Linked DNA regions of Diceros bicornis minor. The protein of the gene in region 4 interacts with the protein of the main gene of each other region in a biochemical or structural test. Links are inferred from orthologs where the notes say so. Each region holds a gene or a part of one and is shown on either strand. Other genes may lie near its edges.

Region 1 (7,249 bases), on a different chromosome or scaffold from region 4:
GGCCATATATCAAAATGTTTAGAGTGATTTGCTCTAGCTAGTGGGATAAAAATAAAAACAGCACCACGGGGCCGACCCAGTGGCGCAAGCGGTTAAGTGCGCACGCTCCACTGCGGCGGCCCGGGGTTCGCTGATTCGGACGGATCCCGGGCGCGCACTGACGCACTGCTTGGCCGTGTGGCGGCGTCCCATATAAAGTGGAGGAAGATGGGCACAGATGTTAGCCCAGGGCCAGTCTTCCTCGGCAAAAAAGAGGAGGATTGGCAGATGTTAGCACAGGGCTGATCTCCTCACTAAAAATAAAAATAACAGCCCCAGCTAATATTTATTGAGCCTTTACTGTAGGCTGTGGAAGGTGTATGCTAAATTCTTTACAGATTATCACATTTTAATCCTTAAAACAACCTTTCAAGTTATCATCCCCATTCTAGATAAGGAAATGGAAGCATAAGAGAATTAAGTAACTTGCCCAGGATCACATGCTAGTAGCAACTTTAAATCAAAGTCTGTCCCACTTCTAGGTCCACTGGGTCTTCTGTCCCCCATTTTGGAGACTATAATTTTTTCTTCTTTTTGCTTTCTCTGTGTTTTCTAATTTTTCTACAATGAATATGTATTACATGTATAATTTGTAAAAAAAAAAAAAAAAAAAAAAAAGTAGAGGGGAAGGGAGCATTCCCTGAGCTCATTGGGGATACCAGGGAATCCGAGCCCTAGGAATGAGGGCCTGGAGTAGAAAGGTACTCACCATTGATGATGGTGTTGTTGGCCCAGACGACCTGCCCATCTGGCAGCACCTTTTGGCTTTCAGGGAAGTGCAGGGCAATAGAGAAAGAGGCATTTGCCCCAACCAGTGTAGGCCCATCGTTACTGACCTTCAAGGACACCTGGCCACCTGGGAAGGGCAGCTGCATTAGCTGGGACTCCTTGGTTTCCACTCCCCATGTACCTTTTCCCTTCCTATCATCCCAAGCTACATCCAACCCAGTTCTTGCTCCTCTCCTCACCCCGTTCCCACCATACCCTCCCCAGAAATTGTCAAGTTCCCACCTCTCCAGCAGTCAGGCCTCTGAATTTCTGTCCACTCTGGATACAGCTGCCTGTTCCAGGCTTTAGTTCTGAGCTGTCTTGAGACACCAAGCCAGTCCCGGCCTCTGGGTCCTAAAAGGAAGGTACCATGAGGGCCCTAGGATCCTCACTCAGTCCCTTCTCAGGGGATAACACCGTCCCATGTGGCCCCACTCATTCTCACATTCAAATTGCATTTTAATTTACTGAATACCCACCAGGTACCAGGCACTATGCTAGGTACAAAGGACTTAAGAAATGAACAAGACATGGCCCTAATGGGATTCAAGGTAAAGTATAGGAAATAGACATATACATAAATTACTATAATTCAAGGCACTGTTTAATATGAACCATAACAGACATGCACAAAGTGCATGAAAATGACAAACTAAACAGACTAGTTCTACTCTGGCAGATTGGGAGAGATGTCAGTGAGGAGTTGGCCTGTGGGATAAGGCCCAGCATGAGCAGATGCATGGAGGCAGGGAAGCACCTGGCATGATAGGAGACTACCAGCAATGTGGTTGATGCACACTGTGAGAGATGAGGCCAAGAAGATGGGGGCTTTCAGTGCCAGGTGAAGGAGTTTGGCCTTTATCCTGTAGGCAAGGCCACCTCAGAAGATTTTGTTTGTTTGTTTTATTGAGATATAATTCACATACCATAAAATTCACCCTTCAGAAGCTTTTGAATATGATCAGATGTGTTTTAGAAAGATCACTGGCAAGCAGTGAGGAGGATGGATCAGAGGCAGGCAAAGGTTGCGGGTGGGGACAGAGCAGATAAAATTATTGTAACTGACCAAGAGAGAAGTCTGAGAAAAAAAGGGATATGATGGATCTCCATATGCCTCACCCAGATCCAATGACTGTCAACAATTTTGCCACATTTGTCTTATCTCTCTTTTGTTAATGTTGTTTGTTTGTTTTTTGGCTAAAGTATTTTTTTAAAAATCCCAGACATCTTGTTATTTTAACCCTACAAATGCAGCATGTATCTGTAGGGTTAAACAATTTTTTTTAAACATGAATATTTTCTTGAATAAGAACAATGTCAATTTATACTAGACGAAATTATCAAACTCAGTCAATATAAAATTTCATGAATATCCAAAAATGTCTTCTTATGATTTTAAAAATTGGGACCCAAAAAGTAAGCACAATCTTTTAAGAGCCTCAGGTGGACAAGTATGAACAGAATGTTTCCAGAATACATTAAGGAACATAGTAAAAGAATAAGACTTGAAACTGCAGCATGAATGAGGGAAGTCAGATCAAGGAGAACTTCCTAGAAGTCTGTGTGACTAGGGATCTAGAGATAGAAAATGGGGACTGGGGCCGGCCCCGTGGCTTGGCGGTTAAGTGCGGGCGCTCTGCTGCTGGCGGCCCGGGGTTCGGATCCCGGGCGCGCACAGACGCGCCGCTTCTCTGGCCATGCTGAGGCCGCGTCCCACATACAGCAACTGGAAGGATGTGCAACTATGACGTACAACTATCTACTGGGGCTTTGGGGGAAAAAATAAATAAAATTATTAAAACAAAAAAAAGAAAATGGGGACTGGGATATGAGGTATATATTTCAGCACAGCAGAAACTGTCCTCACTCCATTTCTAATGTGTACTGGAAACCTAGTTGATTCCACTGGGGGAGGATCTGGAAGCATGTCATTGAGCATCCCACCCTATCATAAGATGCCCTATTCTTTCTCCACTCCCAACCCTCCCTTCTCAGAGCAGCACGGGACATTCCAGACCCTCTCACCACCCCTGCCCCCATCCCTTGCTCCTGTCACGAGGCTTCAATCCCCCAAAGCCCTTTCATGTGATGCTCAGCTGAGACCCTCTGCCCGTCTCTTCCAGCCCCAGAACAAAAGCCTGGGCTGTGTTCGCCCATCTCCATCCCAAAGAGGGGCGATGGGGCCCCCTTACCCTTCTTATCCAATACCACATTCTCTTATTCCTCACTTTACCCTATCCCAAGTGTTTGAGACATTGCCTAAAAGAGTCTCCCACTCATTTCAGCCCTTTGGAGCCCCTGCTCCATCTCACTGAGCAGGGGGCCTCAGAATTAGGGCCGTGAAGATCCACTATCCTCTTTCCCTTCCAAGCAGATGGGATTATTTTCAGGTCCAGTCCCAAATCTCCGTGTGGGGAGGGAGCTCAGGTGCCCATGTCCTCACTAAATCAAATGGATGGGAGAAGACAGAAGTATTGCTGGTAACTCCTATTAGGAGGGGGAAAACCAGAGCAGATGCGCAATCTCAAATTCATACTTGTTCATCTCCACACACCCCACACTCACCTTCTGTGGCCCCCACAGCCAGAAGAGCACCCATCACAGCCATGTGGAGAAGGCATTTTCTCAGCACCAGATCCATCCTCTTCTTCCTTCCAGCAACCAAAGGTGCTGGTGGGCTGGGACAAGCCCCTGTATAAGAAAGGGGTGCTTATTTGCATAGCCCTTCCTCCTCTCCCTCCAGGGAAGGTCTGGGAGGGGCGGGAGGACCGGAGAACGGCAGAACTGACAAGGGATGCTGGTCCCTGGACATCCCACTACTCAATGACAGTTTCTGGGTCACTTTCATCTGGACACACTCCATCCTCCCGGGAAAGAACAGCTACGTAACACATACCGAACACACACAGTTCATCATGGGAGAGTGAATCAGTCTGTTGTTTGAGTCCAACAGGAACCTCTCAAAAAGACAAGAGATCCTGCATCCAAAAACAGAAAGACAGTCTCAGGGTAGGCTGAGAGGCGGAGGCAACGACTCCTCCGAGGCCCAGGAAACCCTTACAATGAGATTCCCAGCTTCCTGCTTTTCAAAGGAGGCTCCCTGGGCCGGGGGGAATTTAATCTTAGGTCGATACACATTTCCCCTAAGGGTGGCGAACCCTGCGAGTTAAAGATCAGGAAGTCCCTACAGACTGAGGGCACGGGTCGGAAACTCGAGCCCAAATCAGGTACTTGGAAAAAGGTGTTCAGCCTCGTCACCGACGCAGAAGCTTGTTCTAACGCCCCTCAGAACCAAACTTGTGCGGGAAGGTCATTTGCGGCGAGGGGCGCTGGGCTCGCCCCGCCCGCTCTGACGTTGACCAATGGGAAGGCCCGGGGGCGGAGCCAGGGAAACGCGGGAAGGAGGGGCGGGGCGTCTGGTGGCGGTAGAGAACTGGGGGGGAGGCGGCAACATTGTTTTAAGTTGGACAAATTGACAAGAGCGAGAGATACACTGCGTTCCATCCCGACCTGGGGTCGCGGTGCTGGGCCCTGTTTCCCCCTCTTTGGCCCCCCGAGAGCCGGGGCCCGCTTTCTGCAGGGTTCCCAGGCCCCCGCTCCAGGGCCGGGCTGACCCGGCTCGCTAGCGCTTCATGGAGAACTTCCAAAAAGTGGAAAAGATCGGAGAGGGCACGTACGGAGTTGTGTACAAAGCCAAAAACAAGTTGACGGGAGAAGTGGTGGCGCTTAAAAAAATCCGCCTGGACACGTGAGTGGCCTCTGTACCCGGGACTCCTAACTCCGGAGCTCCTTGAGTGTCCCTACCCCCACCCCCACCCCCACAGGCGGGTAGCCGTCCAGGGACCGGAAGGTAGCAGGGAGGGACTTCTTTTGAGGTGGAGAGGTGGACTGGAGGACAGTAGAAAGTTTCCCTGTGGAGAATATAGCGTAGTGCACAATCCATGGGGAACTTCCTCCCCAAAGCCGGGTGATACCCCCCTAAATGTGCAGTCAGAAAGACTCAGGAAGACTAAGGAGGCCCCTGAGATGGGGTCCAGGACTCCTGGTGGAGTTGGGTTTTGTAGGAACTGGTGAAAAGCACCTTTCTGAAGGAAGAGCCCTCCTCACTGTCCCAACCCCACCCTCATCTTAGAATTCTCTCCCTCTTTCAAAAGAATGACAGTTGAACCTCACTGGCCCCTCCAGGGAGGCTGGGTGCTGCTAGTCCCATTTTTTTTCTGTTACCTTCTCTCTGCTTCACCTTCACCAGGAGGCTTTACTTACCTACCCCTGGGAAAAGAAGAAATAATGACCTTAATATGTCTAAAAGCCACTCCCTGACCACCCATGAATTAACTCCTACAGCACTCTTTCTCTTCTCTCACTTTCCTAGGGGATGCTGGGGGTGGTGTCACCTTGTGGAGGGGGGGTGGGAGGTGGGAGAGGGAGTGACTGGGCTGGAGGAAAAAGAATATTTGTAACCACATTCCCATCTCTACTTTCCCAACCTCTCCAAGTGAGACGGAGGGTGTACCCAGTACTGCCATCCGGGAGATCTCTCTGCTTAAGGAGCTTAACCACCCTAATATTGTCAAGTAAGTATGTATTTGGGAGGTACTCTGATAGTAAAGGAGGATACCTTCTGTCTGTGAAGTCTGGGCATTTCTCTCCCTCACCTCCATTCCTGGACCTCTCTTCCCTAGGCTGCTGGATGTCATCCACACAGAAAACAAACTCTACCTGGTTTTTGAGTTTCTACACCAGGATCTCAAGAAATTCATGGATGCCTCTGCTCTCACGGGCATTCCTCTTCCCCTCATCAAGGTAATCCTTCTCCTCAACTCCTCCTCATCATGGGCATCTTGGAGGGGACTGAAGGCAGGCAATTCAGACTGAGTGATGATTTGTAATGTGGCTTCCTCCCCAGCCCTCATTCCCCTACAGACAAATACCTACCCCTTTCTTTTGTGGCTCTTTCACTGCTCATTATGCTTATTAACCCCAGGGCTGGGCAGGAGAATCAGAGAAGTGGAAACTCTAGTAAGTCAACTTAGCAGCTCAGGTGGAAGGTCAGATGAAACTCAGATAAATGGGACTTGAGGGCACTTGGTAGATTCCTCTAAAAAGCCCTTCCACCTGTTTGGTGGAAGAAATAGCCAGCAGCTCTCTACTGTCTGTTTTAGGCCTGTGTTCTTTACTCCTGGAGCTACTTTCAATCTGTCAACAAATGTTTATTCAATGCACATTTATTGAACACCTTCAATGTGCTAGGCACAGCATATGGAAAAGAGATGCAAAACTGAATAAGACCTGGTCCTTACCCCTCACTGGGCTGACAATCCAGTGGGAGAAATAGCTTGTAAACATGTAATTATGATCCAACATAGTAAAGGCTTTAGTAGAGCTTTGGAGGCACAGAGCAGACCCTAATCTTCTCACTGTGGTTGAAAAACACAGTCCTCTCTGTCTCCCTTGTCAGAGCTATCTGTTCCAGCTGCTCCAGGGCCTAGCTTTCTGCCATTCTCACCGGGTCCTGCACCGAGACCTCAAACCTCAGAATCTGCTTATCAATGCGGAGGGGGCCATCAAGCTAGCAGACTTCGGACTAGCCAGAGCCTTTGGAGTGCCTGTTCGTACTTATACTCATGAGGTGAGTCTCTCTCTGCATTTCTTCTCTGAACTTCCTGGGAGGTGTTAACAAAGACATTCACAAAGTTACTAAAAATACCTGGCAGCAGTTTCTCTCTCAGTAGATGGAAAGTATCTCTGACACCCCAGGAGGTCTTAGAGTATGCACATAGTTCATACCTTCATACCGTAGGGCTAACTGGCCTTTGATAGATACCAAGCCAGGAGAGCTGGATGGCACACCATTAAAATTATGACGACTTGTCTCAAGTTTTCCAGAAAGGTCACAAATCGGGGCTTCAGAAAATACGGTTCCCAGAGCCATGGGCAAGGCTAACTCTGGGCTAAGAAGTGGTGTGTAATCATTTCACTTAGGCGAAGTCAGAAGGAGGGGAAGGATGGAGGGAAGGAAGCTGCTTGTTAAGAGCCTGAGAGTTAGCAGAGTAGTGCTGAGGAACTGAGACGTGGGAATCTCCATGCCCCATACACCATCCCTCCCCTTCCCACTCTTATCCCCCAGGTGGTGACCCTGTGGTACCGAGCACCTGAAATCCTTTTGGGCTGCAAATACTACTCCACAGCTGTGGACATCTGGAGCCTGGGCTGCATCTTTGCTGAGATGGTACGAAGCCATGCCCTAGTTCCACCCAGCCCACTCCTCCCCACGTTTAAGAACAACAGAACTGTTTCTTGGCCCAGACTCATGGGCCTATTATCACAGGGTTCTTTCTCTAGAGTAGCACCACGCGGGGTGGTGGGGAAGGATAGGATTGTTGTCCCTGATGTCAACCACATGTTAGGATATCCTCAAACAGCCTTAGCATCCAGTTTACTT
Region 2 (7,493 bases), on a different chromosome or scaffold from region 4:
GGTCAACTGTACCATCTAAGATAACCTAATCATGGGAGTAAAAGTCACCATATTACAGTCTCAGGGATTATGCAAGGCAACTACACCGGGGGCCAAGAAATCATAGGGGTCATTTTATCCTTCCGCCTACCACACCTCCCATCCCAAATCTGATTTAAAAGCCCATGTTCCTCCTGCTATCCACAGCTGTGGGATAGTGTACCTCAGGGCTACAGTACAGTGTCATAGATGAGAGATGGAAATGAAATTGTTCTACTTCTGTTCTGCTTCCATGGCTTTTGTCAAAAAGAATGTTCTGTGAATCCCAGCACATATTAGGTACTCAATAAATATTTGTTGAATGAACTATGGATTGGATAAAGGAGAATAAATATTTGTAATGGTAAATGAAAGGCTTAACATAATAGGTACATAGATTTTAAATGAGCACGTAGCTGTTTCAAAAGAGATTCTCTCCAGTTCTGAATGAATTACATTCCTAAGTCCTGAGAGAATAATTGGTGAGATTACTGCAAAACCAACTCAATATATGTTTGTTGAATGAATGAGTAGATGAATTCATTTTGTTTGGTGTTCTCCGTCCTGTCCACAATACCCTCCCCCACCACTACAATGTTAACTTGGCAGCACATATTCTTCCCTGGTGATACTGTAGGGAAACTCTTAGAGATTCTCTTTTCTACATTTCATTAAATACTTAGCATATTTTAAAAGACCCAATATCTAAAACTGAGTTTGAGCAGTGCAAATGAGTTCATGTTAAAACACTGGAAATGTTTTTCAGAAATATGTGTTTACCTTGTACTATAGTGAGCTTCTATGTACAATGCATATATGTGTGTCTGTGTATGTATATATGCTATGCGTTCTGTTCAATAAATATTAGTTGTATTTTTTTTCTGTGACCCTATATAGATTCACTTCCAAAATATCTGGTTATAATAAATCCCTGCTTAATACATATAAAATACATCCCTGATTAATTCAATCGGTTATAATCTGAGAAAATCCTTAAATTATTCTTTAATTTATGAATATATTAAAGTATAAATATAATGTGATAAAGTGCAACGTGAGAACCTCAATTTCTTCATCACACAGGCATCTTCCTTCAGTCAAAAGAATGTTGAAGCTATTTTAATATATGTAATGCTTTTCTCATCCTGGGTACACTTGTAAAGTAGTAACTTGTTAAGAGTTACTTTGTCATAGCCAGAAATTAGTAAGTACCAAAAGTCTATTATGAACTGAACACTACCTACACACAACTGGTGCAAAAAAGAGGCGTTAGAAATACTACCTGTCTCCATGGAATCTACATACAATTTACATATAAACAGGCACAATTAGAGAACAAGATATTATACGTGTAAGTCTATTAGAAGTGGAAGAATGCTCAGAGATTATGCTGATCTTTTTAGAAATGAGGACCCTGAGACACAGAGAGGAGAAACGACTCACCAAGCACTGCAGACCTGGTTCAGTGGAGTGGGAAGGGAACCCAGGTCTCATAACTAAGTCAGTGGCATTGAAACAGGTTACACTGCAACCCACAGTCAGAAATAGACCTTACATACAGATAGTTCACCGATCTACGGTGGCGTCGATTATTAAACACATTAGTATCATATATACTATGATACTAAACAGGCTAAAGCAGAGAAGATACTGTCTAGTATGTGCTAACACAGTGCTAAGACACTCTAAGATACACCCCAATTTCCAAATATATGAAAAGATGGAAAAAAAGCATTTGTATATAATTTTTACACGTGTGCTATATAACTAAAACAGAACTTTTACATGTTATATTATCTACTGTATTCTATTTTTTTTTTAAATGATGTTATGGGTCCACTGAATTAATTTTACCAGCCATTAATGAGCTGACCTGATCCAAACACGACATCATGTATCACAGACGATTAGAAACCTTGTTTACGTATACAACCAAGATGCTAATTGTTCAGTTTGAAAGTAGGTGCAGAAGAAGAAAAGAAATAGTTTCATATGGACAAAAACCACCTGGAAAGTTTTCAAATTAGAAATAAGAGTTTAGCCTTGAGTGGATGGGTAAAATATGGTAAGATAAAGAAGAGAAAGTGAACAACTGAGCAACTTAAACAGGGAGACAAAAACCCTCAAATGTAAATGTGAAAAATATCCACTCTTTAAAACATAACCATTGAACTTAATAAAAATAGATGACACCCTTTTTAAAAGTTTCAAGTAATTTCAAGCATGAAGGTAGATTTTAAGGCCTCCTCTAAAAATATACAGAAAATATAACCTGAAAAAAATTAAATGTAGCTTCCAGAAATGAAAATATATAAAATTGTTTTAGACAAAACTTGATGCAATATTTGTTTCATATCCTTCTGTTATAAATTCAAAAGGGGTCAAATAGTCTGATAGCAAAGAGGCAGGGGCCTGAAAACAAGTGGCAGGACATTCTCCCACCCCTCATTTTGCTGTGCTTTTCTTAAAGTCAACGACTAATGCAAAAATAAAATTTTGGAATTCCCTCCTTGCCGGCCTCTATGCACACGAAAAATACATCTGAGGATATTACGCATGTATCCTATAAAACCGGCTGGCTGAAAGGCTAGGTGATTTCTCTTACATTCATCCTCAGAATTATCTCTAACCCTTGTAAAAAGCAAGCAAACAACAATCAAGAAGCCCGTTTTGCATGCGTGTGTGAAATGTGCACAGCCCAGTGCGAATGTGATCACATTAAAAAATGTGCACACTTGGCAGTTAGGAAATGTCACAGCAAACTTTAGCACGGGAAATTTCAATCCCTTTGATGAAGATACCATCTTTCAGCCAAGCCCTGGCAGAAAATCTTTGGTTCCTGTTAGACCCCTCCCTCCCCAGTCAGCTGCTGGGCTCCATCCGGAGGGTTGGGGGCTCTCCCTCTCCATCACAGCTAAGCGTTCCCAGACCCGGGAGAAACCCTGGGTTTCCGCAGGGCACTCAATGTGCAGCGAAGTGTCCCAGCTCGGCAAAAGGCAGCTGGCAATGGATTTAAAATGGCAACGCGGACCAATCAGCGCCGCCGCCCCGGAGCAGACATTTACGCGCGCCTCCTCCACCAGCAGGGCTGCTTAGGGCTGTAAAGGAGGCGTTTTTATTCCACGGTGGTCTGTATTTTCGGGAAAAAAAAAAAATTCTTCTTCGAGTGAAAGTTTTTATTCTGGAATTAGTCCAAAATAATTTTGGGTGTGATGTGTGAAAATCTGAACCTAATTTTTTCAGTTTTTTTGTTATTCAAGGATGAAAAGAGGTACATTTTAAAATGTACTCCACCTTTTTAAAACGGCCTGTGGTCATGATGGTGTTCCCATAACTCAGAAACAGCCCAAGCTATAAAATTAGGACTTGGCAGAAAGGGAGTTTCTAGCGAGAAGGTTAAATCGAGGTAAACTGAAGGGCGAGTTGGACAGTTGGCGCAGTTGCGGTGTTAGGCAGCTACCAGGTCCCCGCGTGGGGCAACCGCTTTACCCTGTGAGCGTTGGAAAGCGGGTGCATAGCGCCAGCCGGGGGCGGGGGGGGAGGCTTCGCGTCGCCTCTAGTCTTTCCCGGAGGAAAATGCTCAATGGAGAAGCTGGCGCGCCCCGTGTGCATGTGTGTGCATTGTTTGCACGTGTGCCTATGTCTGCGAATGTGCATGTAAGTGAGCGCGTGTTGGTTTAAGTGTGTGTTTATGCATGCATGTGCCTGTGCGAGTGTGCACGTGTATCTGCGTGCACGTGCGTGCGTGTGTGTCCGCGTGCAAGTGCGCGGGCCGGGTCGTGCGATCTGTGATGAGGGCATTCCGAGGCAGAGCAGGGCTGCCGGCGGCCGGCTCCTACTCCTCTTCCGTTCCTTCCCACTCACAGGGAGCTAGAACTCCGCCGCGCGTGCAGCTAGACGCTTCCTGCAGAGTGTTGGCTCCGCATCGCGGAGGTGCAGGTAAGGGCCAAGCCCCGAAACGCGGCTCTGAGACAGTCACATTCCCGTGCCTTCCTAGGACAACCGCCCAGGGGCGACCTCGGGCGGCGGGCGGGGCGAGGCCGGCGGCGAGCCGGGCCGGGATCCCCGGCCTGTCCCTTTAACCCCGCCGCCGGGCGGGAGCACGTGAGCGGGGCTCCGGGTGGCACCCGGGCGCCGCCGCCGCCAAGGCAGTTGTATTTCGAACGCTGCCTCTGGCCCGCGGCCAGGCGCCTTGGCTCGGCGATCCGCCTGGCCTCCCTCCTCCTCATACTTTTCCTCCTGCGCAGCCCCCTCCCCTTTATCCGCCCACGATTAGAGGTGGGCACTCCCCCCCCCGGCGCCCCCTCCCCAAGCGCGCGCGCACACACACACACACACACACACACACACACACACTCATCCCGCTTGAATCCTGGGGCAGGAACTCAGAAAACTTCCAGCCCCGGCAGCGCGCGCTTGGTGCAGGACGCAGGAGCGAGCAGCCCGTCCCCCTCCGGCTCTCCGGTGCCGCTGCCGCCCGCTCCCGCCACTCGAAGAGGCGCGGTGCCACCCACTGCTCCGTCCCTCGCCCGCGCTCAGTGCCCGACCCGATCCCGGCCGGCTCTCCCCATCCTGCCTCTGCTTCCCGACGGCCCAAGGCGCTATTTGCTTTCTCTCTCTTTCTCTTTCTTGCTCTGCGAGCGCGGAGAGGGGGGGAAGAGGAGGAGGAATTCTTTCCCCGCCTAACATTTCAAGGGACACAATTCACTCCAAGTCTCTTCCCTTTCCAAGCCTCTTCCGAAGTGCTCCCGGTGACCGCAACTCCTGATCCCAAACCGAGGGGGAGCCTCTCCAGCGTCCGACCCTCTTTTTCTTCGCCTTCGCTTTCCTGCTCCTCTCGCTACCTCCACCTCCACTGCCACCTCCACCTCCGGCACCCACCCACCGCCGCCGCCGCCACCAGCAGCGCCTCCTTCTCTCCTCCTCCTCCTCCCTCTGCTCTCTTTTGGCAGCCGCTGGACGTCCGGTGTTGATGGTGGCAGCGGCGGCAGCCTAAGCAGCAGCAGCCCTCGCAGCACGCCCGCTCTCGCTCCCCCTGCCTCGGTCTCCAGCCCTATCACCCCGTCTCCCGAGAGGTACCGGGCGGATTCGGGGCGGCCGAGGCCAAGCGGCTGCAGCGGCGGTAGCGGCGGCGGCGGCAGCGGTAGCGGCGGCGGCGGCGGCGGGAGGCAGGATGAGCGCACGCGGTGAGGGCGCCGGGCAGCCGTCCACTTCAGCCCAGGGACAACCTGCCGCCCCGGCGCCTCAGAAGAGAGGACGCGGCCGACCCAGGAAGCAGCAGCAAGTCAGTACGCGGGCGGGGTGGGGGCAGCCGCCCACCTCCGCGCCCTCCGCGCAGGCCCGGCCACGCGTGGCCACCCGAGCGCGGGAGCCCAGTCGCCGCGGCCGCCGCGCGCCGCCCGCCCGCCTCCTGCCGGCCGGAGTGGGGGGGGGGGCCCGGCGTCCCCGGCGCGAGTGCGCGGCGGAGCCCCGGGGCGCCCGCGCCGCTGCGGCCGGGAGGTGGGGAGCCGCGGCGCGCGGCGGGGCGGAGGCGGGAGGTGGGGTCGGGCGCAGCGCGTCCTCGGACTTTCGCTATTGTGCACGGCCCGCAGTGGCGCGCGGTCTCCCGGCGACTGCAGGCGGCCCGGCGCTTTCCGAGCTGCTGCTGCAATTGCCCCGGGGGAAGGAGGTGCCGGGGGCAGCGGTGCTCGGGCGGTTCAGGGTTGGAGGGGCTGAGTCCTGGGGGCCGGAGGCTCTTTCTCCCGCCTACCCGAGCTGCTCGCTGGCCGCGGACTGGCGCGCCGCAGCCGCCCCCTTGGCTCCCTCCCCAAGTTCTCGGTGGCCCGAGACTCGCGCCCTCCCGACAAAGAGCTCGTGGGCCCGCCTGGTCCTCTTAGAGCTCTTTAAATGCGGCGCGGCGGCCAGTCTGCGGGCCGCCGCCGCCGCCGAGGTGTCCCGGGGAAGGGGCTGCAGGAGACCTGGGGTCCCCACGGGACGGGATTAACTCGTTTGGCCAAGAGCGCGGTGGAAAGTAGTGTCCGAGAGGGTGCACGGTAGCTAGGGTCACTTCCTCACCAGCTGCCCCGTACTCTTTTTGCCCCAGGATCCCGCGCCTTGGAACTGCAGACATTCAATGTGCTTCTCCAGGGCGAGTGGCTGGGGGTTGGGAGGGGACGATCGAGGGGCGCCCGGGACCCCGCGGAGTGGAGGGTTTTGTCTGCGGATGCAACCAATTAAGCGTGCAGCCGGCGCTTGCAGAGCTGTGCGCAGCGCCCAGGGCAGGGGTTTTGTTCGCCGCGGTTTCCAAGCCTCGGCGGGCAGGGCTGGAGCGGGACGTGTCTATTGAGAACATTTAAACTCCGCTTCCGCGGGCTTTAAAACTTCTTCATTCCTTAGCCTTAAAGCGCTTCCTTCATGGCAAAGAGGCCGACTAGGAAATAATCGTAGAGTCCCAAAGCCGCCCGAGAGCAAGGTGGGGAAATCGGACAATGTTTGCTTGCCGGTGCGTTTTAGAAAAACGGAGAGGGTTGTACCTTTTTGAAATCATCAAAGGAAACAAGCCAATCTAGAGGCCCCTGCGTTTTCCCGCTCTGCCCCAGCGACACTTTCTTTATACCGCGTTCCGATCCTGTTTTACACCTCCCAGGAAGTCTCTGCCCTTCCCCCCGCCCTGCTTCCCACCCGCCACCCGGCTCTCTCTAATTCTGCTAATTGCCCCCCACCTCCAAAAAATCATCCAGAAGAAATTGCAGCGGGGTCTGGGGGTGATTGGAGGTTTTACCTTTGAGTTAAGGCAGAGTTCACAAAGAAAGAAAAATGCGTCTCCGACGTGTTTGCTTCGGATGTGCCCATTGGCGCTAGTGGTCCCACAGAAGCTTGCAGGGAAACTTCCCCAGATTTTCTCAATAGGATGCGAATTCTCATTGAAGACTTTCATGCGTTTTAAGTTAATTAGTCTCATTTAATCACCGAATCTGAATGAAATGTAAATTGATGATTCACCGAATAAATATTTAGGATCTGGAATATTAATCATCGCTTTCTCTTAGCCACTTGAGTATTTACTACTTGGCATAGAAGCCATTTAAAGTTTTGCTAAACCTATTGATAGTTTCAATTTCTCCTTCCCAGACACTTCCAATCCTTCTCACTTTTTTCCCCTTTTTGTTTCCTCTAATCCACCTCCATGAGTTTTCTCAAAAGAAAGTTTTGGAGAAAAACCTTATTTTTATCAAAAGATATTTAAATTTAGACCGGAGACCATGCCTACATTTCCAAAAGGAAGTGGAGAATTGAAGCAATTATCTAGATAATTCAAGCAAAACCTCCCACAACAGATTTACCATAATTATTTGGGAATTTTAGGGGGAATGGAGTTATTTTGAGTTGAAGAACACGGATAATTGCTCCAATATTTCACTCAATGTGTTGATTGAGTCAGAATTGACCTATAATGCAGATATATAGAGATGATTAAAAACTATCTTTTCAATATG
Region 3 (7,805 bases), on a different chromosome or scaffold from region 4:
ACATTAAGAAATGATGCAATTATTCCATACCATTTTATTGTAGGTATTGTGTTTCAAAAAATTTATAGCATAAATAACCTTTCATGTCATAAAATAACTTAGTGCAATTTATAATAAAACTTTGAGAATTTAACATCTCATCAAAATACAATAAAATATGGTTTTAAAATATGATTAACCCTTTCTGCTTTTCTTTTACTTGAGGGCATACAAACCAAAAATACCCAAACTACTGCTGCACATTTGAACTTGAACAAAGCGTATTTGGTTTATTTAACTGTAACTCAACCATCCTAAATTAATACATAGTTTGTTTTCCTTCCTGCGTGGTTGTCTCTTTTGTTCCTTGTGACTTGTATTGCTGTTTCAACACAGCTTCCTTCTCCATTTTCACCTCTTTCCATCTGCAAAGTCATCTACCTCCGGGCCCCCAGAACGTGTAGTTGAACTCGCTCAGCCCCTTGACATCAGTTCCTGTAATCCTTGCATCAGTGTGGGGAGTAACTGCTTGAGTAACTACAAAGGTATTTCAAAACTTCAGTGCAATTTGGTTCAGTTATTTTCATTCAGATGCCATCACCGCTCAGGGAGATTAATCACTGGGACCCACTGATCCATGTAGCGACTTTCCCGGCAAAAACAAATAAGTTGACTTAAGGCGGGATCCTTCCATTGGGATGAATGTGGATTCTGGGAACAAATTTCGAAAAATAAATTGACTATTAAAAAAAAATCAGCATTTGCTAATAATTACACTACTTTTGAGCAGAAGACACTTCAACATTCTATATTTTGCATGACATGAAGACCAGTTACAGCCATAAAAAATAACATTTCTTCCAGGTAGTCAGGTTTCCTGCAAAATCATTAAAGGTAATTCTCCCCTAACCTATACTCTACAAAGTCTGAAGCACGCAACCCACTGAGCCATCTACATATGTTTGCATGATACTATTTATTCAGTTTTGCATGAGGGTATCATTCACAGGTTCCTGCTAACAAACTTGTACTATGGCAGAGACCTGAGTAAAATGACTTTGAGAAACATTTCCCTGCCGTTCATACAATGAGACAGAGCTGCACAGCAGTCACCACCCAGTCACCACCTGTTATCCTCCCAAAAGGTGGAGTCATATTCTTCAGGAGTAGCAAAATAATTAGGCTGCCACTTAGCTAGACCAGCCAAAAAACAGTAAAATGTAAAAACAAAAGATGATGTAAAATCTCATTTACCTCTGAAAACACAAGTTATTTACCCACCCAAGGTTTTTAATTAGGAAAAAAGCTCCATTAAAAAAATGCAAGATTGCAAAGGAAAAATTTCCACTCTATCCTCTTAATGTATTTCTAGGGAATTAATAAGGTCTGTCTCCTACACCGTTTCTATTTTTAGCTTTGACTGGCAGAGAATGAAGCTGACTCCTTAATGAGGGTGAGCCAGGAATTTATGTGGCTTTATCTAATCCGCCCTGCTAAAGGAATTAGTCACGGGAGGTAGTGCAGATGTAGGTAGGGAGTAGTTGGGCTGACTCTGCTGACTCACAAGGATCTCTTCCGCGGCTGGCAGCCTCCAACGTGCTCAGACATGTTCCGTACGGGAGAAAATCCCGATGATGAAACTAGCACATCTCGGCTGAAAGTCCAGCCGCTCTCTTTAATGGGGCAAAGGCGGCCCCGCTCGTGACCCCCACCCCTGCCCGACCCGCAGTCAGGCGACTCTCGCCCCGGCCCACTTCCTCCCAGGCCTCGCACGCGGCGGCGCGCGCCCTGGCCCTCACCGTCACCAGCACGCAGTGCAGGTCCGGGGGCTGCGCGGCGCCCTCGCCGGCCGCGGGCCCCGCGTCGGGCTCCAGGAGCAGGAGCTCGGCCAGCCGGCCCGGGTTGCTGACGCGCAGAATGTTGATGTCGTTCTCGCAGCAGAAGGCCTGGATCAGGGTGAAGTGGATCTGCAGGGCCACGTCCCTGTCGTCGTCCTCGTCCGCCGCCAGCAGGCACAGCACCACGTTATCCGGGTCGCTGCGGGCAGGGGCGGTGCGGGTGAGCGCCGAGGCGCGACCCCCGCGCGCGCCCGCACCGCCCGGGTCCCGGGGGTCGCGCCCGGCCCGCTCGCTCGCCGGGGCAGGCAGCCGCCGCGCGGATGGACAGCGGCGTGCAGGCGAGGGGCGCCCCGCGAGGGCGCCTCCCGGGCTGGGGCGCGCAGGGGGCCACGGGGGACACGCGAGGGCCCCACTTACACGTTGAGCAGCTTGGCCGCCTCGTACACCCCGACCGTGATGGTGCGCTGACTCAGGGCTTTGCTGAGCACTTCCTCGAGGGCATCCCCCACCTTATCCATCCTACACGCCGGCAAGAGCAAGGGGTCCCGTCAGCCCGGGTGCCCTCGGGCCGTCGCCGCCCCTCGACCCGCACCGCGACCTTCCCCCCGAGCGCGTGCCCCCGCGCACCTCAGCTTTCTGCAAACCCGGGCGCCCCGGTCCGGCACCCCCACGACCCCTCGCACGCCCAGAGGCCGGGGTCCGGGGAGAAGCCCCGAGAGTGTCACCCGCCACCCTCCCCGAGGGCACTGCCAGTCCCGGGCTGGGCGCAGGCACAGGCTGCCCGCCGCAGCAGCTGCACCGCAGGGACGGTCGCTTGTGCCCTCTGCAAAGCCCCGAGGGGTCGGCCGGGTTGGGGGGCACGCTCCTTCCGTCCGCGGGCGCCCCTGGGAGGGTCCCCGAGTGAGAAAGGCGGGAGGGAGGTGCGCTCCGCAAACTTTTCACCGCTCGCCCCACGCAAACCTCCCGGAGCCCGGCGGCACTCCCCCGAGGCCCCCCGAGGTCCCCCCGGGGCCAGTCGGCCCACTCACCTTTCGGTCTTCTGCTCGCCAGCCGCGAATTCCTCCAGAGTCATATTGCAACTGCAGGTTCCCCCCAGAGAGAGCGCGGCGTGCGGGCTGCTCCTGCCACCGAGCGCGCGCGGGCGCCGGCTGTCTGCACTCCGGCCCCGGCCGCTCCAGCGCCCCGCCGCCGCGCCGTCAGCCCTCCCGCCCGCCCCCGGCCACTCGCCCCGCCGCGAGCCGCGACTGCCACCCGGCTGCTGCCTCACAGCCACTGGAGGACAAAGGCGCCGCTCGCCGGAGTTATCCTGCCAACCCCCGGCCAACCAACGCCCGCCTCATTTGCATACGCGCAGACATTGGGCTATGCAAATCAGCATGTTCCGACAATTTGACCCGAGCTCCCGGACCGCGGCTGAGAGGAGCGGAAGGGGGAGGAGCCACGCGGAAGGCGAGCCAGGGGCGGGGGCGGGGCGGGGGCGGGGTCCCGAGCGGACTCTTATTCCGTGGGCGGGGCCCAAAGGAGAGGCGGTCTTTGCACGGGGGGAGGGAAAGCGGGTTGTCTTCAGCTTGGGCTGGAACAGGCTGCCAAGTGTTTTTCTCAGTTGGTGCACATTTTTTTTATTGTCGTTTCATGTCTTTTGTTTTTAGGGGTTGCTATTAAAATCTGTTTTCGGGGTTAATGCACCCAAGTCCAGTAATTATTAGTAAGCAGTTTACATAAAAAGAGTGTGTCCAGACCTCCGGAGCAAAGTTACCTCAGAAGTGTTGTTTGTGTAAGTCCAGGCAAAGCTGCTTATTAGTAGTAGTATTATTTCGGTGCCCTGATGGCTGGTTTGATTTATTTTTGGAAGGTTGCAAGGGTTGGAAGCTCAAAAAAGAAAAATCAACACATTTGTCTTGGGTGGTGGCAGGGAACCAAGTTGGAATCCTTTCCGCAGAAAGCAGAAGGGCTTCCCACCTGCCCAGGGTAACTCGGGGAAACCATGTTCACCGGGAGCTGGTTACCACACGTGTGTATCCTGGCCTTCAACCCAAGCTCACCTTTCTCAGAGAGCCTTCCCCAAAGGAGGATCCTTCTGAACCGGCACCAGCTAAGAGACAAATGTCTGACACCCACATAAGCCACGAGTCTAAATTCAGAATGCTCTCAATATGCCCTAAGCTTCCTTTCATGAGGCAAGTATGTCACTGCCCTCCCCAGAGAGCCTGTGATCTCACAGTGAATTATTGATGGCCAGTGCTGAATCATGAAGCAGCAGCCATAGGACCTTTTAGTCATATGCTAAAATTTCACCTTTGAGATAATGGCGACCTGTGGGTGGAAAGCAAGCAGTAGTTACACATTTTTGAAAAGCAAACTTTAATGTGTAGACTTTCGCCGAATACGTTGCAAGTTCTTCCCTTTGTTTTATGAGTTTATACAATAAGTGCAAAAACATGTCTTAAACCTACTCAAGTCACCAGAAGAGGTGAAAATTCCCCCCATATGCTTCCATTCAAAACAACGCTTGCATTATTAAGGTCACTGTATAGTTAAAGGTCACAGAAGTCATTTTTTGCAAAGGTACATGGGAGTTTTTGCACCCGTATGTTTGTATCATTCTAGACAAAATATTCTCCAGCTCTCTTGATCTTAATTTAGTGGAAAAGAAAAGTGAGAGTTCAGTTTTCTGGCTCATTTACTTGAGCTGCCTTTTTGCACTTAATCCCTAACTGCCTTGTCAGCAAGGGACAATGTTTTGGAATGGTGGTGGCCAATGCATAATTTACCCAAGGGTGCTTGTGTATTTCATTTCTATACCTTAAATCGTAATGTGTAGTGTCTTTGTTAAAGAATTCCTTAAAATTGAAATTCAGGTGGGTTCTGAAGTTTTTCGAACAAACCCTGAATTATACACTCTGGCCTGAGTCATCATTTGGAGACTATTGAACCGTGTTCCATGGAACTCCAAGGTTCTATCCACTAGGCGTTTCTTAGAGGTTCTTTGGAAGAAAGTGTGATCACAGCAAACTGAAAAAGAATTAGGGATGCATGTGAGTTTCTTGACAGCAGGGACTGTGACTTCATCACCGTGGTGTTCTTGGCACCCAGCCCAACTTCTGCATTTAGGAGAAGTACAGTCAATGTTTATTGAGTTGAACAAGATCTCAGAATCCTGCAGTCCTGTGCATTGCATGAATTCTCTCTAAGATATTCCACATTTATCTTTAGTTCGAAAAAACTTCTTTGATCTACTATGTACCAAGAACTGTACAATTCCTGGTCCTTTGCCTTTAAAGAGCTTACCATTTAATTGGTATGTCCATGCTTGGACTGGATTTTGGGACAAAATAGCATGCACTGTCATCAGCTAGCTATGCTGGAAGTCCCATGACTTTAGTCATCTGAACGGAAACTGTAGGACAGTAGAACCCGTGTATTGTTTATGCCAATTCAAATGAACCACAGCCCTAATAATACCTCACCCAAGACAATGCTGTGCAGTAAAAATGTGGTATAAAAGAGCTATTTCTTAATACAGGCCTAGACCCTCACTCAGAAGCTACCCTGCGTGCTGTCTGTGGCTTCATGGGAAAGTGGTTTGTTCCAGTGTTGTCGGTTGCTCTCTGAGATAAGCCTAGCCTTCCAGTATTCAAAAATATTCATTTGTCATATTTTCTGACTCAGATATGTTACATCATTTTGCCTCATTGCTGAGTCTACCTAGAATGTTTCATCAGTGATGATCTTCGAAGCTGGTCCTCATGGCTGCAAGTAGAAGCTGCATTTAGCTCCAGTTAGATTGCAGTTATATATTAGGATGGTCATAGATGATATATTTCATAAATGCTCCTCAGGCCAGTGGGAAGTTGGTATCCAATGATAAACCAGAGGAATTTCCCTAGATTAGTATAGAACACACACACATATATGTATTTTTAAAAATAACTCCAATATGTGAAATCATTTTTTTTTTAATTTTTTCCCCCCAAAGCCCCAGTAGATAGTTGTGCGTCATAGTTGCACATCCTTCTAGTTGCTGTATGTGGGACACAGCCTCAGCATTGCCGGAGAAGCGGTGTGTCTGTTCGCGCCTGGGATCTGAACCCGGGCCTCCAGCAGCGGAGCGCACACACTTAACCGCTAAGCCACGGGGGTGGCCCTGTGAAATCATTTTTAAAACCACCCCAGGTGGCTCCAAGTAGTTCAGCTGCACAGGACTAGAATGACCTTGTAGTAATATTTGTAAGGATGCCAAATGGTTATATTTGGAAATCAGATGGAAATATGTCCTCAAAAATTGTTGAATTATTTTAGCCATCTACTTACTTTGCATATTAAGAGTCTTTTTGATATTTTCTTCGCTTTTAGTATGCATATGTTCCTACTACTTGTTCTATAGTATAGAATGATAACTTTTCTTTTTTTCAAAAATTAGTCAATCCTTTAACATCTGAAAGAAATATGATGCTTATTATTTTGGTATTAGATCATTGTTCACATTAAAGGAGATCAATTAGACTATAACAGATGTATCTACTACCTAGAACTCTGTATTCTATTTTATTGTTAAAAATTATAAGGTTCCTTATGTATTTTTTGCATAAGTCTGGTGAAGTTAGTTTCTAAAGGCAGGCTCTGAATTTCCCTCATTTCTTCCCCAGAGAAGACCATTCAGACAAGATTTACTGTCACCTAAAAATTTGTCATTTCTTAGGATCAATACTTGCATTTGAATTTAACATAAATGTTTAGTTTCTTGGACCATCACTGTGGTAGGCAAATTGTAAGATGGGCTCAATGATCTCTAACCTCTGATGTTAAGCTCTGTATAACCCTCTTCCCTCGAGTGTGGGCGGAACCCATCCCTTGTTTCTAACGAGTAGAATATGGCAATGATGTTGGGCTATCACACCCACAATTATATTACATTCTATGGCAAAGGTGAAAGGATTTTGCAGATGTAATTACGGTCCCTAATCAGTTGAGTTTGAGTTAAACAAAAGGGAGATTATGCTAGGTGGGCCTGATCTAATCAGGTGAGCCCTTTAGAAGAGGGCCTAGGCCTTCTCTGAAGAGATATTGGAAGCATCAGAGACTCTCTTTCTTCATTGCTGGCTTTGAAGAAGTGAACTTCCATATTCTACAGCTGCAAGGAAATGAATTTTGCCAACAACCTGAGGGAGCTTAGAAATAGATCTTTTCCTAGTCAAGCCTTTAGATGAGAATGTAGCCTGGGAAACACTGATTTTAGCCTTCTGAGCCCCTGACAAGAGAACCTAGCTAAGCCATGCCTGGACTTCTGACCTGCAGAAACTGTGAGATAATAAATGAGTGTTAATTTAAACCACTGTTTGTGGTAATTTGTTTCATAGCATCAAAACCTAGTACAATCCTCTTAATGCCATCTTGTCATGTGTTCAATAAATCTTTACCCGATGAAAATTATCTTCAGCTATGAATATTCATGGAAGTCGAGTCATGGGGTTGCTTTGAGCTTTAGGCTAACCACCTTGTATTCCCACCAGGTGTTCACATTTCACCAGCCATGCAGGGCCAGCCAGGCAAGGTGTCAAATAAAGAGACATTTTTCAAGGACCCCTCACCCCATTTCCCCACCTTCCCACTGAGTTAAGGCTTCCATTGTAGTAGGGATGTTCTCTCTGTGAATGTCTCTGTTTGGTGGGCTAATCACTGGTGAAGAAGGTAGGTGGTCTGAGTTGGTAATTGGCCATTGGTAGTTTGTTCTGGTACCTTGAACAGGTTTATGAATTTTCTATCTCTGAAATAGAAGAGCTGATTCTTTTCACCCATCTACTTCATTGCAGTGTTTTCTTCCTCAACTCTTAACAGCTCAGTCCTTGGACTTCTTCTTTCTCTATCTAAACTCACTCTCTTGGTGACCTCATCCAGTCTCATGGCCTAAATACTTATATGCTGATGACTCTCGAATATACTTCCAATCTGGTCAGTCACCTCTTCTGAACCTCAGGCTTACTCATCATC
Region 4 (7,197 bases):
TGTGGGATGCGGCCTCAGCATGGCCAGAGAAGCGGTGCATCGGTGCGTGCCTGGGATCCGAACCCGGGCCGCCAGCAGCGGAGCGCGCGCACTTAACCACTAAGCCACGGGGCCGGCCCTCAAATTTTAATTTTAATTAATTTAAATTTAAGTAGCCAAATATAGTTAGTGGCAACCACATTTGACAGAGCAGCTGTTGATCTACTAACTCATAGAAAACACAAGGGATAAGGAAACATGTTAAATGACAACATGTCTCAGTGTATAATGTGTAGACCTTGTTTGGATATTCACACAAACCAACTACAAGAGACATTTGGGGAAATTTGAACTGGATAATTCATAATATTAGGACTTATTTAAAACTTTGATTTGTATTATAATGGTATTATGTTTAGGCTTTAAAAATTGTTATCTTTTAAAGATACATACTAAGTATTTATAGATGAAAATATACATATCTAGGATTTTCTTTAAATGATCCAGCAGAGGGGGAGTGGGAAGGATGGTGGGAAGGTATATATGAAACAAGATTAGCTATATGTTGATAATTGTTGAAGCTGGGTGATGGGTATATTGGTGTTCATCATAATATTCTATTTCTGTGCGTGTTTGAAGATTTCCATCACAGAATGTGTTAACAAATGAAGAAATAAATAAAACCTGGAAATAGTATATATGTTCATCTTATGCAATATAATGCAACTCCTAAAAAGAATGCAGTGAGCTTCCATATATAATATCATGGAAAGGTAACTAAGCCACATGAAATGAAGAAGCGAAGTTGCAGAAAATTGCTATGGCCTGAAGGTATTCCCCCCAGATTCATATGTTGAAATCCTAACCCCCAATGGTGATGGTATTAGGAGGTGGGGTCTTTGGGAGGTGATTAGTTCACGAAGGTGGAGTCCTCATGAATGGGATTAGTGCTCTTATAAAAGAGACCCCACAGAGATCCCTAGCCCCCTCCACCACCTGAGGATACAGGGAGAAGTCTACCACCTGGAAGAGAGTCCTCACCTGACCACACGGGCGCCCTGATCTTGGACTTCCAGCCTCCAGAACTGTGAGAAATAAATTTGTTGTTTATGAGCTACCAGTCTGTGGTATTTTGTTATAGCAGCCTAATGGACTAAGACAACAATATATAAAGGATGAGCCTATTTATGTAAACAACAAAAAGTTGCATTTTTATGTACATATATTTGTAAGTAAATACCTGCCCTTTTACTGTACAAGTCCATTTCTTAGAAATACATATTACAAAACTACTTTAAGACATCCATAAGGATATATGTACAAAGATACTGTATTAGTCTGCTTGGGTTGCCATAAAAAAATACTGCAGACTGGGTAGCTTAAACAACAGAAATTTGTCTTACACTTTTGGAGGCCTGGAAATCCAGGATGAAGGTGCCAGCTAATCCAATTCCCAGTAAGTGCTTTCTTCTGGCTTGCAGACAGCTGCCTTCTCACTGTGGCCTCACATAGAGGAAAGAGAGCGAGCTCTTGTGTCTCTTCCTCTTATAAGGAGGACACAAGTCCTATCAGATTAGGGCTGATCCTATGACCTCATTTAACCATTTAACCTTTATCACTCCCTCACAGGCTCTAACTCCAAATATAGTCACATTGAAGATTAGGGCTTCAACGTATGAATTTTGGGGGGACACAAACATTCAGTCCATAACATTTACTAAAGCATTATTTCTTATAGCAAAACTATGAAAACAATTTTAGCGTCTATCTATGGAGGAATGGATATTAAATCATAACATTTCCATATTATGTACTAGTTTGGACAAATGTCCAAAATATATTTTTGAATATGCAAAAAAGGTGAAAAATATATGAATCACACACATTTAAAAAAAATACAAAAGAAAAAAACCCCAACTATGTAATCTCTCTCTCCCTATATATATAGTCTGGAAGGATAATCACACAACTATTAACAGTGATTACTCCTAGGGAATAGAAACAGAGATATGGAAAGAGAGGCATTTTACTTTTTCACGTGTATAGACCTAAATAACTTTAATTTATTAAAAAGATAGTGAGCATTCATTACATTTGTAAATCTGAAAAATGCAATAAGTGATTTTTTTAACTGCTTGATTCCATGATATCATATCTAGACTAGGTGCCTGAAATATTAAAACAACAAATGTATTTATAAAACATGAGCTATAGCTCCCATATGGTTCAGGATCTGTACAGAGCTAAATTTGAATAATCATGGTCGAGAATCCAGAAAGAAATTACAAAGTAGTTCCAACTTTTACTTGCATGGGCTCAAAGAACATTAACCCCTTCTCCTACACTGTCCTGTAGCTCCTCTTGAGACTTTCCCATTCTAAATCCCCAGATTCTTCTCAGCCACAGTCCTCTCCTCCCTTTTATCAGCCTTTCTCATTCCATTACATAAATATCCTTCCAAGTCTCAGTTTTTTCTCTAGCAATTGTTCATCTTCTCCAACTCAAAAGATCCAAGAACCATGTTGGTGAAGGCTCTTCTTCACTTAGGGGTGAGGAAAAAGGTGGGGAACAGCTTGGCCTCATTCACATACTGGTCACACTGATTTCTCCAAATTTAGGATTTTGATTTTGTTAACTAATAATTGGTTCATGTGTTCTGTAGTTTATCTTCCCAACTGGATTGTCTTTGGGGAAAAAGTGGTAGGGGCATCACTGGCACTATTTTTACTCTTCACAGTACTTCTTATTGTCTGATCTGTTGACATAAAAGATTGTTAGAGGGGATCCTCAAAACTCACAGTGCCCTGGAGCTGCGGAGGTCCTCAGTTTGTCAAGGTGTAGCTGGTTTAGAATGCTAATTTCCAGGCTCACTCCCCAAGAGTCTAATTAAGGTTGCATTTCTTACAAGTTAGACGCTTTCTTTACAGCTCAGAACATTCTTAGGAATGTTCAAGATTGAGTAGTGCGCTGTCTCAGAGACTGGTCCCTACATAACCCTCCCAGCTCTTTTAGAAGGATGTTAGCACGGGACTCAGAGCTCGAGAACCATCTCATCACCCATTTGGGTACCTTACTTCACCTCTCTCACCCGTTTCCTTGTCTGCAAAGTGGGGATAGTCACACCGGCCTCACGGGACCTGATGTGGGGACTTATTGCAGGTACACAGCCCTCTTTTTTGTGTGAGGAAAATCAGCCCTGTGCTAACATCCATGCCAATCTTCCTCTTTTTTGCTGAGGAAGACTGGCCCTGCTCTAACATCCGTGCCCATCTTCCTCCACTTTATGTGGGAAGACGCCACAGCATGGCCTGACAAGCGGTGCATCCGTGGGCGCCTGGGGTTCCGGACTGGGGCCGCCAGCAGCGGAGCGCACACACTTAACCGCTATGCCACAGGCTTGCTCCGATACACAGCCCTTGTCTTTAGGGAGAAATCACCCAGCCCTGGTTCTTGCGGGGCTTCTATGGAAGAGGCTGACTCAGTTCTCTTTTGGCCCCAAAATGACATAAAGATGAGAGATTTCAACTTCGGAGATGTTTCCTCAGAAAGTACAGAGCTGTAAAAACAGAGTTGGGTAAGTGCGGCCAGCAGCTGCATCTTTTCTCGCCAACAAAGAATAATTCGTAGTCCACTCTTGTCTCTGGCACCTGAAGCTTTTAACTTGGGGGATACAACTCTGAGCCCGGGCCTTTAGGCAAGTCAAAAATCCTGAAGTGGTTATGCCTGTTTGGAGGTCTGCGAGGCACGAAGGGATGGAGAAAGGTGAAGCGAGCTGCTTTCTGGGTCACTTCTAACTGGCTAGCCCCCCACACCTAACACAGCTAAAACTTGCCGTCGCCATTTTGCAGGGTGGGCTGCGCAGGCTCTTGGCGCGACGCCCGCGCGCCTGGGCTGGAGAGGACGTGGAAGGCTTGGAGGCGGGGGAGCGCGCGCTACCAGGGGAAAGCACGCGTGCGCACGGGCGGCGGCGGCGGCGGAGGGGTGGGGCCGGGGTACGAGTGCGCGTGCTCGGTGGGAGCCCGCGAAGTACCTGGAGGAGGTGGGGGGCGAGGTAGAAGGGAGTAATGTTGAAGAGCGCTTGCGCGGGAAGGCGACGGTCCGGGGAGGGGGGCTCCCGAGCACGCGCGCAGAGACGGGACTTGGTCAGCTCTCGCGAGAGCTTCAAGATGCTATATATGTGCGCAGGGAGCCCGCGTCCTTTCCCTGGTGTGATTCCGTCCTGCGCGGCTGTTCTGTGCAACAGTGGTCGTTTGTCTCCGTCCGCCTTCTCTCCCACCGAAGTGCGTGCCACCACCCCATGGAAGATTCGATGGACATGGACATGAGCCCCCTGAGGCCCCAGAACTATCTTTTCGGTAAGTGCTGGGGGGGCTGGAGCGAGGCCGAGCAGGCCTAGTGGCTTTGAGGTGGGGGGGGGGGGCGGGAATTCTGAGGCCTGGGCCGGTGGAGAAAGGCAGGCAGGCTGGAGGCCTGGGGAGTGGGGCGCGAGCTGCCGGGGCCCTGCCGCCTGAGAGGTGGGGGAAGCGGGCTGCCGGGGCTCTGCAGCCTGAGGGATGGGGAGCCAGGACAGGAGAGCCGGCGCGCCAAGGGTGGGAAGGAGGGGCGGCCTGAAGCCTGGGGCGTGAGCGGTCCGAGGCCCAGGGCCTTGGGGAAGGTGGAGCCGACAGGCTGAGGGTTCGGCGTTGCCTAGGGCGCACAGTCGAGCCCGGAGCGTGATTTCTTTTTAGGGGTGTGTGAGTTCGCAGGCTTCCGATTCCGCGCCGGTGTCTTCGGTGCTGGGCCTCGGCTTGGTGCAGGAGGTTGTGTGGGCTCGTCATGTGAGCATGGGCCTCCTTTCCGGAGGAGAGGATACTTCCAGCCTGGCGTTGTCCTCCGGCCTTGAGGCCTCAGGGTCAGGAGCTCTAGGGCCGACACTCGGCCCGGGTGCGTCGGCTGGTTACCGGGGGAGGGGAGGCCCGGCCGGGCGTGAGGAGGCCGCAACCGCTGGGAGCACGTGGTTGCCACGTGGTTGGGGCAAGGTGGGGGTGTGGGCGCTGCATCCGGGGCTCACTGATGTCCTGTCACCCCCGAGCCTGGGGTCCTGGGTTTTAGTTGAGGCTGTTGGGCGGGAAATGTTAGGTGAAGTGGCTGGTAGCGCCAGGATTCTGGAGGTCTTTGTTCATTGCTTAACATTTGCGTACTATGATGGTAGTTCTCATTTCTAGAGCCATTTTTCTGTTTTACCGCGATGGATGGAGTAGCCACTTTGCAGATGACGATACTGATGCTCAGAGAACTAAAGTGATTTAAAGAATGTTGCACTTGTAGGTAAATAGAGACTAGATCTAAACCAAGACCCTTGTCTCCAGAGCTGGTGCGTTATAAAGGATTGGTTTTTTGTTTTTTTGGAGAGAGGCCCATGGAGACAGTTTTCTGTGTGGCATCGAGCAAACAGTTTTGTTTTTTTTTTTTTTAAAGATGAGAAATGTGCCGAGAGTTCAGTTAGGTCGATAAGACCTGATACTGTACTGTACTTGTAATTCTATACCAAGGTTTTGAGATCTCTCCCCCTCCTCAGCACACAGTGACATACTAAGGAGAGGCCTGGTTTGGCTTTCAGTCGCAGTGAATTTGGTTGTTGAAGCCATTTCTTTGTGTCAGTCAGGCTTGGAAGTAAGCGCAAATCCTGCCTCAAATTTATTTTGTTTCTTTATATACCATGCTGAGATTTGTTAATTGAGCGATAACATTTAAACATATGCACCAGTAACTGTTAGATGGCAATTAAATGGAATCATTTAAAGTTTCATTCTGATGGTATTTAAAACAATTTTCTTACTTGTGGAGTGGGAGTAGGTAACATGCACTATACATTAAGGCTTTTATTCTAGCCATCTTGAAGAGCTGAGGTTTCTGATCAATTTACACCCAAATATTTTTGTGTTAACGTTTCTATTGGAAATATCTTTAGGGTATATCTATTCTTGCTTTAAACATAATTTTTGAATGTGATTTAATGTACATCATTTCAGTTACTTGAAAGATGGAATGCTGGCCCCTTAACAAGTTTTAGTTCTTTTACATTTGTAGTTTTTCTGTTGTAAATACAAACTGTTCATGTAGGCATTTGTGTAACCATTCTCATTTCTAAATTTGCTGCTTTTCTTGGGAGTTGAGTTAGGTAATTTCAGCTTTTTTAAACAGTGGGATTTTACCAACATCGTACAATTTGGTTTCAGATACTTGTTTCAGTTACAGATTTACTAAATCTTTGAGCTTATTTCTATCTGAGAATGGTAATAGTGTAGTTGAGAATCAAATAGTATAATGGGAAAGTGGAATTTATGAAGCCCTAAGCCCTGTGTGGATGTTATATGATGTTTATACATGTTTGTGTTCAAGAGATCCAGAAAGAGATACTTCTGCCTTGCCTTCTGGTAGCCAGAATAGTGAAAAACTAGTTCACAAATACTTTTTTAGTTACCCACACTGAAGTTTCATTGTTATTTTTTTCTCTGTTATAGTTGCTTTTTTCTTCATTTACAGGTTGTGAACTAAAGGCTGACAAAGATTATCACTTTAAGGTGGATAATGATGAAAATGAGCACCAGTTATCTTTAAGAACGGTACTTAAACTTTTCAAAATAAACTACTTAACCTTTGTCCATTTCAGTCTCTTAGTTCCTCCTCGTGTGGCTTAATACTTAAGTATTTTTTATAACTGAGTGTTGTATATACCTGATTATATACCTCTGATAGAAAACCTGGCATTTTCACCACTCATTTGGTAATTATGTAAAGTCCAGTCACACTGTTGGTTCAGCTTTCCATATTTGTATACTTTGATGCCTCAGTTCCACTATAAAGCCCTTTAGGGTAGTGATAAATCTTTTGTGCCCTCCCACAGAGACTAGCCTCTGTTAGTGTCTAGACTGCTCAACTTGTAGTAGGTGGTCAATAAATGTTAGGTGATCCATACTGTGGATAGGTGGTGACATATACAACTGTGTCATCAAATGCATTTTTATGCATTTGTTCAGATTTACTGAATATGAGAAATTGATGGGCAGGGTCACATAAAAGTTGAAGACAACATTGTGCTCAAATTAGTTTTCCATCAGTGGTAATAATGAAAAGTTTATAGTTTTGTTTTTTAAAAAACTCATTTTGGGGGGGAATTGTAAAATAGTGGCAACTTAAAAGTTGAAGTACTATTTTTCTGTTCACAGGTCAGTTTAG

Evidence for each region.
Region 1: of the proteins of NPM1 (region 4) and CDK2, one has a biochemical effect on the other in vitro, tested with the Homo sapiens proteins (2 studies listed by BioGRID). The link is inferred for Diceros bicornis minor from reciprocal best matches to the Homo sapiens genes NPM1 and CDK2.
Region 2: the proteins of NPM1 (region 4) and HMGA2 interact in far-western blotting, tested with the Homo sapiens proteins (2 studies listed by BioGRID). The link is inferred for Diceros bicornis minor from reciprocal best matches to the Homo sapiens genes NPM1 and HMGA2.
Region 3: the proteins of NPM1 (region 4) and GADD45A form a complex in vitro, tested with the Homo sapiens proteins (2 studies listed by BioGRID). The link is inferred for Diceros bicornis minor from reciprocal best matches to the Homo sapiens genes NPM1 and GADD45A.

Annotation. Positions count from the first base shown.
Region 1 is NC_080756.1:12,774,674-12,781,922, reverse strand, and holds the start of CDK2 (cyclin-dependent kinase 2), read left to right. Parts: upstream 1-4,249; 5' UTR 4,250-4,439; coding exon 4,440-4,555; intron 4,556-5,303; coding exon 5,304-5,381; intron 5,382-5,489; coding exon 5,490-5,610; intron 5,611-6,265; coding exon 6,266-6,436; intron 6,437-6,934; coding exon 6,935-7,036; intron 7,037-7,249. Other genes in the region: melanocyte protein PMEL, read right to left, coding at 749-895, 1,051-1,161, 3,373-3,448. UniProt on the Homo sapiens protein: Serine/threonine-protein kinase involved in the control of the cell cycle; essential for meiosis, but dispensable for mitosis. Phosphorylates CABLES1, CTNNB1, CDK2AP2, ERCC6, NBN, USP37, p53/TP53, NPM1, CDK7, RB1, BRCA2, MYC, NPAT, EZH2.
Region 2 is NC_080756.1:4,950,655-4,958,147, reverse strand, and holds the start of HMGA2 (high mobility group protein HMGI-C), read left to right. Parts: upstream 1-4,492; 5' UTR 4,493-5,191; coding exon 5,192-5,302; intron 5,303-7,493.
Region 3 is NC_080743.1:6,451,095-6,458,899, reverse strand, and holds GADD45A (growth arrest and DNA damage-inducible protein GADD45 alpha), read right to left. Parts: upstream 3,013-7,805; 5' UTR 2,890-3,012; coding exon 2,846-2,889; intron 2,337-2,845; coding exon 2,235-2,336; intron 2,017-2,234; coding exon 1,779-2,016; intron 691-1,778; coding exon 577-690; 3' UTR 10-576; downstream 1-9. UniProt on the Homo sapiens protein: In T-cells, functions as a regulator of p38 MAPKs by inhibiting p88 phosphorylation and activity.
Region 4 is NC_080740.1:85,422,418-85,429,614, forward strand, and holds the start of NPM1 (nucleophosmin), read left to right. Parts: upstream 1-4,188; 5' UTR 4,189-4,276; coding exon 4,277-4,334; intron 4,335-6,504; coding exon 6,505-6,584; intron 6,585-7,187; coding exon 7,188-7,197. UniProt on the Homo sapiens protein: Involved in diverse cellular processes such as ribosome biogenesis, centrosome duplication, protein chaperoning, histone assembly, cell proliferation, and regulation of tumor suppressors p53/TP53 and ARF.